Danio rerio: one gene and its partner. The protein of the gene in region 2 purifies or fractionates together with the protein of the main gene of each other region. This does not show direct contact. Links are inferred from orthologs where the notes say so. Each region holds a gene or a part of one and is shown on either strand. Other genes may lie near its edges. The genes, in order: malt1 and card11.

The links.
Region 1: the proteins of card11 (region 2) and malt1 purify together in Homo sapiens (affinity purification with western blotting; 6 studies listed by BioGRID and IntAct, with this or other methods). This does not show direct contact. The link is inferred for Danio rerio from reciprocal best matches to the Homo sapiens genes CARD11 and MALT1.

What each region holds. Positions count from the first base shown.
Region 1 is NC_133180.1:72,224,444-72,228,991, forward strand, and holds the start of malt1 (mucosa-associated lymphoid tissue lymphoma translocation protein 1), read left to right. Parts: upstream 1-1,573; 5' UTR 1,574-1,658; intron 1,659-3,440; 5' UTR 3,441-3,513; coding exon 3,514-3,662; intron 3,663-3,762; coding exon 3,763-3,929; intron 3,930-4,548. UniProt on the Homo sapiens protein: Protease that enhances BCL10-induced activation: acts via formation of CBM complexes that channel adaptive and innate immune signaling downstream of CARD domain-containing proteins (CARD9, CARD11 and CARD14) to activate NF-kappa-B and MAP kinase p38 pathways which stimulate expression of genes encoding pro-inflammatory cytokines and chemokines.
Region 2 is NC_133178.1:40,618,967-40,622,796, forward strand, and holds part of card11 (caspase recruitment domain-containing protein 11), read left to right. Parts: coding exon 1-73; intron 74-246; coding exon 247-445; intron 446-541; coding exon 542-668; intron 669-2,416; coding exon 2,417-2,657; intron 2,658-2,837; coding exon 2,838-2,922; intron 2,923-3,830. UniProt on the Homo sapiens protein: Adapter protein that plays a key role in adaptive immune response by transducing the activation of NF-kappa-B downstream of T-cell receptor (TCR) and B-cell receptor (BCR) engagement.

The DNA of each region.
Region 1 (4,548 bases), on a different chromosome or scaffold from region 2:
TTTTCTCAGCACTCTGAGTCTGAGGTGTCCAAACTCGTGCTATCTAGCCATGCAACCACCTGTCCACTCGATCCCATTCCCTCTCATCTCTTGCAAGCCATCTCTCCTGCAGTCATACCAACACTGACTCACATAATTAACACATCTCTTGACTCTGGTTTATTCCCCACTTCATTTAAGCAGGCTAGGGTAACCCCACTGCTAAAGAAACCCAACCTGGACCATACGCTACTTGAAAACTACAGACCAGTATCCCTGCTTCCATTCATGGCCAAGATTCTGGAGAAAGTAGTGTTCAATCAAGTCCTCTTACTCAAAACAATCTCATGGACAACAAGCAATCCGGCTTAAAGAAAGGCCACTCAACTGAGACTGCCCTGCTCTCGGTCGTGGAGAATCTCACACTGGCTAAAGCAGACTCTAAATCATCAGTCCTCATTTTGCTGGATTTGTCAGCTGCTTTTGACACTGTCAACCACCAGATCCTGCTATCTACGCTCGAGTCACTGGGCGTTGCGGGCACTGTTATACAATGGTTCAGATCTTACCTCTCTGACAGGTCATTCAGGGTGTCTTGGAGGGGAGAGGTGTCCAACCTACAGCATCTAAACACTGGGGTACCTCAAGGCTCTGTTCTTGGGCCACTTCTTGATTTAATTTTAATTTAAAATTTAACAGCAAATGAATATATATATATATATATATATATATATATATATATATATATATATATATATATATATATATATATATATATATATATATGTGTATATATATATATGTATGTATATATATATATATATATATATATATATATATATATATATATATATATATATATATATATATATATATATATATATATATATATCTGATTTTATTCAGTGGATGTTTTCATCCCGAACAATCCCGAACATAACAAAAGGCAAAAGGAAAGTAAATTTGCCCAGAGTGTATCTTTGAGTTTTTTTGTTTTAAATTTTAATTATTTTCACAAAATATAGTATATTTCAAAATAAGATTTGCCACCAAAAAACATTCTGCTAGCTGAAACAGACAAAGTTATGGCCAAATTAATACTTGAAATCTCCTCAGAGTGGATGAAAACATCCCCAACAGCACACACAGTAAGGGTTATTGCAGAAAATATACATACATATGTAGTCTTTAAGTAAAAATGTTAAAAGATGAGCAGATATGAATTAATATTAATTCCATTCAATATATTAATTAATGCTTTTCTCATTGTTTCTAGCCTACATCTCTTTTTCTGGTACAATGAAGAGAGGTTTCCCTTGTAAACTGGCATCCATGAATGTGTATTTTCCTCACACAATAACGAAATAAAGTTCATAAAAAAACCATCATCCTTTAAAGATAAATAAACAACCCCAAATCACATGTTTGTGAAGAGCGAGTTTGACTGAAACACTTCCGTTTAAGCACTGCGAGCTGCTCAGGAGTAGTGTACTCATGATGAGATGAACACCTTCCCCTTTGTCAGACACCAGGAAGTGATGCGAACACACACACACACACACACACACACACACACACACACACACACACACACACACGTACTTTTGGATTTCCCCGCATCAGTCGGATTCATGTATCGTTTAATAATGGGATACATGACAACACATAATCCGTGTACGGTATGTCAATGTTTATACTGCGTGTTTTTCAAGCCTTCTGTTTTGTGTTTGGTGAATTCCGATATGTTGTTTGGCTACTTTTGAAACATGAACGTTTAGTCCAGTTCATACATTTCATAATCTTAAAATCTAACTTAGAAGTGCTAAATACTTTATTAAACAATAATTTTTTACCAATATTCGCTTGCTGACTAGACAAAGCGCGATGGAAAAAGTGAAATTAGCGATTGTACAAGTTGTTGACGTACCAAAGGATGACAATACTGCTTTGTTTTTCGTCTTCATTTTTAAAGTCGTCTTGCCGTTCACACTCGTCTTACTTTACTTCTTCTGTGGATCATAAAGGAAAATATTAAGTCTTCTTTCACTTTTAGATGATTCTGAATACTTTGGATGACATTTCATTCATTTGAATTGTTCACGGAAATAAATTAAGGAACTGGAACAACATGAAGGAGCAAATTATTACAGGGATTTAATTTTGAAGAAAATGTCTTTGATATGATCTCTAATCTGAATTTAAAGATATTAAACTAGTGTGTCTAATGTAGACAGGTGTATACACTTACCGGCCACTTTATTAGGTACACCCGTCCAACTGATCGCTAACGCAAATTTCTAATCAGCCAATCGCATGGCAGCAATTCAATGCATTTAGGCATGTAGACATGGTCAAGACGATCTGCTGCAGTTCGAACCGAGCATCAGAATGAGGAAGAAGGGTGATTTAAGTGATTTTGATGGTGGCATGGTTTTTGGTGCCAGAACGGCTGATCTGAGTATTTCAGAAACTGCTGATCAACTGGGATTTTCATGCACAACCATCTCCAGGGTTTACAGAGAATGGTCCGAAAAAGAGAAAATATCCAGTTTGTGGCAGTTCTGTGGTCACAAGTGCCTTGTTGATGCCAGAGGTCAGGGGAGAACGGCCAGACTGGTTCCAGCTGATAGAAAGGCAACAGTAGCTCAAACAACCACTCGTTACAACCGAGGTCTGCAGAAGAGCATCTCTGAACGCACAACATGACTAACCTTGAGGCGGATGGGCTACAGCAGCAGAAGACCACACCGGGTGCCGCTCCTGTCAGCTAAGAACAGGAAACTGAGGCTACAATTCACACAGGCGCACCAAAATTGAACAATTGGAGAAATGTTGCCTGGTCTGAAGATTGTCAATTTCAGCTGCCACATTCGGATGATCGGGTCAGAATTTGGCATCAACAACATGAAAGTATGATTCCATCCTGCCTTGAATCAGTGAATTAGGCTGGTGGTGGTGGTTTGATGGTGTGGGGGATATTTACTTGGCACACTGTGGGCCCATTAGGACCAATTGAGCATCGTGTCAACACCACAGCCTACCTGAGCATTGTTGCTGATCATGTCCATCCCTTTATGACCAAAGTGTACTCATATTCTGATGGCTACTTCCAGCAGGATAATGCACCATTTTTTTTTGTCAGGCATAATTAGATCAAGGGTTATTTGATGGTGACATTTTGTAATACTTTTAATACAATTTAGTATGATCACTCATCATTTTATATATCTTGAGAAGTGCAGGTCAGAATAAATAGTTAATTCGCTTTTGTAAATCACTTTTGTAAATGCCACAACAGTTGATATCTCATTTATTACATTTATAATACAAATATTTTCAGAATATTCATGTATTTTAATATGTTATATATTCATATTCTAGTGGTGTTAAATAAATATTCTTATATTTCTTATATGATGTATACACTGCTAATAATGTCATGTTGATTTTCCGTTTGGCAGGTGCTTTGCTGACTACTTAAGCAGTTCAGCAGGTCAAACCAATCACAGCGGTGCATCTGCCTTATTCTCAAACATGTCGGAATCGAATGAAAGCTCTTTGAACATAAATTTCTTGAAAGAATCTGTATTAAAAAGGCTCTGTGAGTCTCTTGATAAAGCCAACAATAAAGGATGGCGAAAACTGGGGGAGATTGTGAAAAATGACAAGCGGTTTAAAGTGAGGTAACAGCTCTATTGTTCTCTCTTCACTTTACCTCCTAATGTAATATCCACTTTGAAACTTACATTTCGTAATGCTTTCTGAATTCACTCATATGCACAGTCTCGAAGACATGGACATGTGTTCTCTGAAGGCTTTGAAGGCAGATGGTAGTCCTTCCCGAACTCTTCTCAAACTCATCGGAGATCAGGGCTGTATCCAGGAAGAACTGATGGAGTTTCTACAGATCATGGGTCACACAGAGGCCCTGCAGTGTCTTAAACCTCCAGGTACAGTTACCTTAATAGTGTAAACATAGTAGGCAGAGTTTTTATGTTGTGCAATGCTGTATTACATTATCTTTTGTCTTGCTTATCCAAATTTACATGTCGCAATTCCGTGTTAGATCTAGCGATTCAGAGATAGATCATGCAATTCTGAGTTTTGATCTTGCGATTCTGAGATAAGATCTTGTCGTTCCGAGTTTAGATCTTATGATTCTAAGATTACATGTTGAGATTCCAAGTTTTATCTTGCGATTCTGAGATTAGATCTCGCTATTATAAGTTTTACATGTTGCAGTTCTAAGTCAAGATCTTGAGACTTTGAGTTTAGGTCTTGCTATTTCTAGTTGAATCTTGCAATTCCGAGATTAAATCTTGCTGTTCCGAATTTAGATCTCACCACTTCGAGATTGGATCTTGTGATTCCAAGTTATATCTAGGAATTCTGAGTTGAGGTTTTGCAATTTGCGGTTTAAGATCTTGCCGTTTCGAGTCTAGGTCTTGTGAGTTCGATATTACATTTTGCCATTCCGAGATTAGATTTTACAATTCCGAGTTTAGATTTTGCTATTCCAAGTTTAGATCTTGTGAGTCTGAGATTGCATATTGAGATCCCGAGTTAGAT
Region 2 (3,830 bases):
ACCAGTCTGAGATAATGGATTCGTATGATCTGGAGCAAGTCAATAACATCTTCAGGAAATTCTCGTTGGAGAGGTTTTTTTTATGTTTTATTATTTTAGTTATAATCTTAGAGTACTTTTATAATGGTTCTTTGAGCACTTCACTTTTTGCTATCCTTAAGAGGGAAGGAATATCAGTTTCTGTCATCTCAGTTTATCCAGACTCCACAATATCACTCCTTTGATTTTTTTTTTCTTCTTCTCTAGACCTTTTCGTCCTTCATTGACCTCAGGCCCTCCACGAAACTCATTGCGAACGGTTCAGAGCCTTTCTCTCTCTGGAGAAAACCTTTTGTCTGAAATCACTCTGATTGGTGGAAATGATAGTGGCATCTTCGTGAACTCTGTCCAGTCTGGCTCTGATGCAGATCTGGCTGGAGTTAAAGTCGGATTTCATCTTTTAATGGTGAGATTTACTAGAAATCCTGTTTGTGTTTGCAACCAAAACACCTATTGAGGTAGTAGAAGTAGAATTAACCTTTTGGTTTAATTTGTCCTCTAGCTGGAGGGAAATGTTCATGGAAAAGCAGAGAGTGTGTCTTTAGACACCAGCACTAAAGAAGAAGCCCACTGGACCCTGCAGAGATGTTCTGGACAAGTGCATCTTCATTACAAATCCAGCTATGACAGTGAGTCTTAAATAACTCTTAAATAGAAGATTTTAAAAAGATTTATTTGCAGATAGGGGAGGTTAGAGGAGTTGAATACTTTGAAACAGTCCTGGTAGGAGCCAAATAATGCATTCAGACTCCAAAGAAACATGAGGCTTTGGTCTTTTTGGCTTATGGCTCTATCTGAATCAAATGTGCTGCTCTGTTTGGTATGAACACAAACTGTTTATCCATCACACACCATGATATTTAGATGAAATCTATTTTAGTTTTTCTCAAATGTTATTTAATTATTTGTGAAATTCAGATTTTTATGGTTAAATGATTTATGATTCAGTTTTTTTTCTTCCTTGTAATCCAAAAGCACATCCAGAAATTATAAAACATTAAATTTAAGAACAACCCATTAAGAGTTTACCAAGATGTGCATTTTAATAACTGTTTTACATTTATTTCTAAATAATCTGAAAAAAACTAACTAACTAACTAACTAACTAACCAACCAACCAACCAACCAACCAACCAACCAACCAACCAACCAACCAACCAACCAACCAACCAACCAACCAACCAACCAACCAACCAACCAACCAACCAACCAACCAACCAACCAACCAACTAACTAACTAACAAAAACTAAACCAGAATTTAACTGTGATGGTCTGTTATGAAGATGCTGTGATTTCTGTGTATATGATTAAACAATAATCTCACATAACAGAGCAAAGTAGTGGTGAAGTACCTCTCAAATCAGCTGCTTAAACAAAGTGCATGTGCTCAAATAGTAAGACAGCATAAGTTGAGACAGCATGAGTCTCACACATGCTCTAGTTTGCATGTATTAAACTAAACTGCAAGTAGTAAACAAATACATTCAAACATTATATTTAGCCTTTTAACTGTAACCCCAATTGTTGAGTTCACTCTTAAAAATTGCAACACAGGCTCATTGGGAGTATGTGCCCAGGACTGCATATTTGAGAACTGCAAAATATGTGCATGGGCCTACGTATGGTTGCGTTTTGTATGTAAAACAAAAAGTAGATGGTTGAATGACACTTCTGAAAAATTCTGTTGCTTTTTGCACTATACCGCTGTCCGCTTGCCTCTTTATTTTTCGGCGTGACCGCTTTGCCACATAAGGCGTCAGCCTCGAGTCCCGTTAAGAATGGTTACAGGTAAAAAGAAAAAAAAAGTGACAATAATGTGAAATAGTGGTAAAAGCATGCGTTTGTGATGGCTTTTCTCTTCTAGTTTTCTTTAAAAAAAACAAACGGTTGCGTTTAGGGAAGGGGAAGGTGGGAGGTTTAGTTGATTGCAAGCTGATACACACACAACAGGCCTACTGGCTTCTTTTTACAGACGGTCATGAGCAGGACGTTGAGATATGCACCAATGTACACAGCGGCCTCTGGTGGATGAGAAAATTTGCCCCGGCAAAGTATTTAAGATTGTGAAATATGTACCTGGCGGCCTCTAGTGGATTAATGAAAAATGGTGTGTTTGAGAAAACGTGCACAAGTAACGTATTTGTACACTTGTATAACGTCAAATATGTACACTGCAACCTCTTGTGATTTTGTGAAGACAAAAACCTTAAGCATATATTGCCTCGGGCACATATTTCACAGTTCTTAAATATGTAACCCTGGCCACGTATCTCCAATGAGCCTGGGTTGGAAAATGATGTACGACGCACATTATATATAGTTTGTCATGATAAGTATAGGTTGCTTTGCTTTGACCCTCCGCTTTCTCGTTTCCAGGCTACAGGCGGCTGGTGAAGGATATTGAAGACGGCACAGTGGTATCTGGAGACTCCTTCTACATACGTCTCAATCTGAACATCTCCAGCCAGTCTGATAACTGCTCGCTGAATGTCAGATGTGACGAGGTTCTCCATGTTCTGGACACCATGCATCAAGACAAATGCGAATGGCTGTGTGCCCGTGTCGACCCTTTCACAGACAAGGACCTGGACAAAGGCACCATACCGAGTTACTCAAGGTGAGGAAGAAATGAGTGACCATTATTGTGTCGGTTTTCAAACCAAGTGTGAACACTGGTCTATTGCCTGCTGCAGATTGCCTGTCAGTGTGTTGGTGAGCGCGTGGGTGTGCATTTTTTTATGTCTGTTGACTGTGACGAGAAGCTGTTAAGTGAACTTAGCTGTCACCTCCTCCCCAGAGCCCAGCAGCTCCTCTTGGTGAAGATTCAGAAGCTGATGTGTCGAGGAGGCCGAGAAGATGTCGACACTCTGAGAGTGATCCGGGTCAGTTCCTTATGGATTGTTGGGGAAATGCATCTTGTTTTGGGTTTCACATTCATAGATAAGGGTAAACTGATTCTGCACAAACTGAAAGGCAATTACAGGGACAGTAACTTATAGACTTATACTCTTTGGTAACTTATAGAACCTAGAAAGTCTGTCATAATTTACTTATTTTGATGACTTTAGTTCTTTGGCAGAAACTCACTGTTTTATTCTTTTTATCCTATAATGACAAAATGACTTTAATTTATTCTGTTTGTTTTATGCATCTGCTGCATGGAAAACTAAGAGTGACCCTTCAAAAATAAATTGAAGAAGCAGTTTATCAGTTTAGTAATTAATACATACACTTTATACAAATAAATCATCTTTAAATGGACAATTCATGTTTTAAATGTTAATTAATTAAACAATACAAAGTATTAGGATCTCTTTCACATGGTCAGTCTCTTTAAAATGATAGTTTGTCTACAAATTACAAACTGCTATAAATTTACCCACCAATTGGACTTTCAAAATGTAGGGTTTTCTTCAACAGAATGTTGAAGAATCATTTTTGATCGTTGGCGATTCATACAATGCAAGTCAATGACTGCTAGCCGTTGAGGGTGCAGGTGAGTTGTCAGTTTTCGAGAGACGCTCAAATACATGCCGTGCGCTGTGTGTGCAATGTCTATAAGTCATGTTAAACAATAAATTGCTAACTGAAATATTCATACATTTTCTTTTCGGCTAAGTCCCTTTATTAATATGGGGTCGCCAAAGCGGAATGACCTGCCAACTTATACAGCACATGTTTTACGCAGCAGATGCCCTTCCAGCTGCAACCCATTTCTGGGAAACATTTATACACACTCATTCACACTCCGGACACTTATACACTAACGGACAATTTAGCTTACCCAATT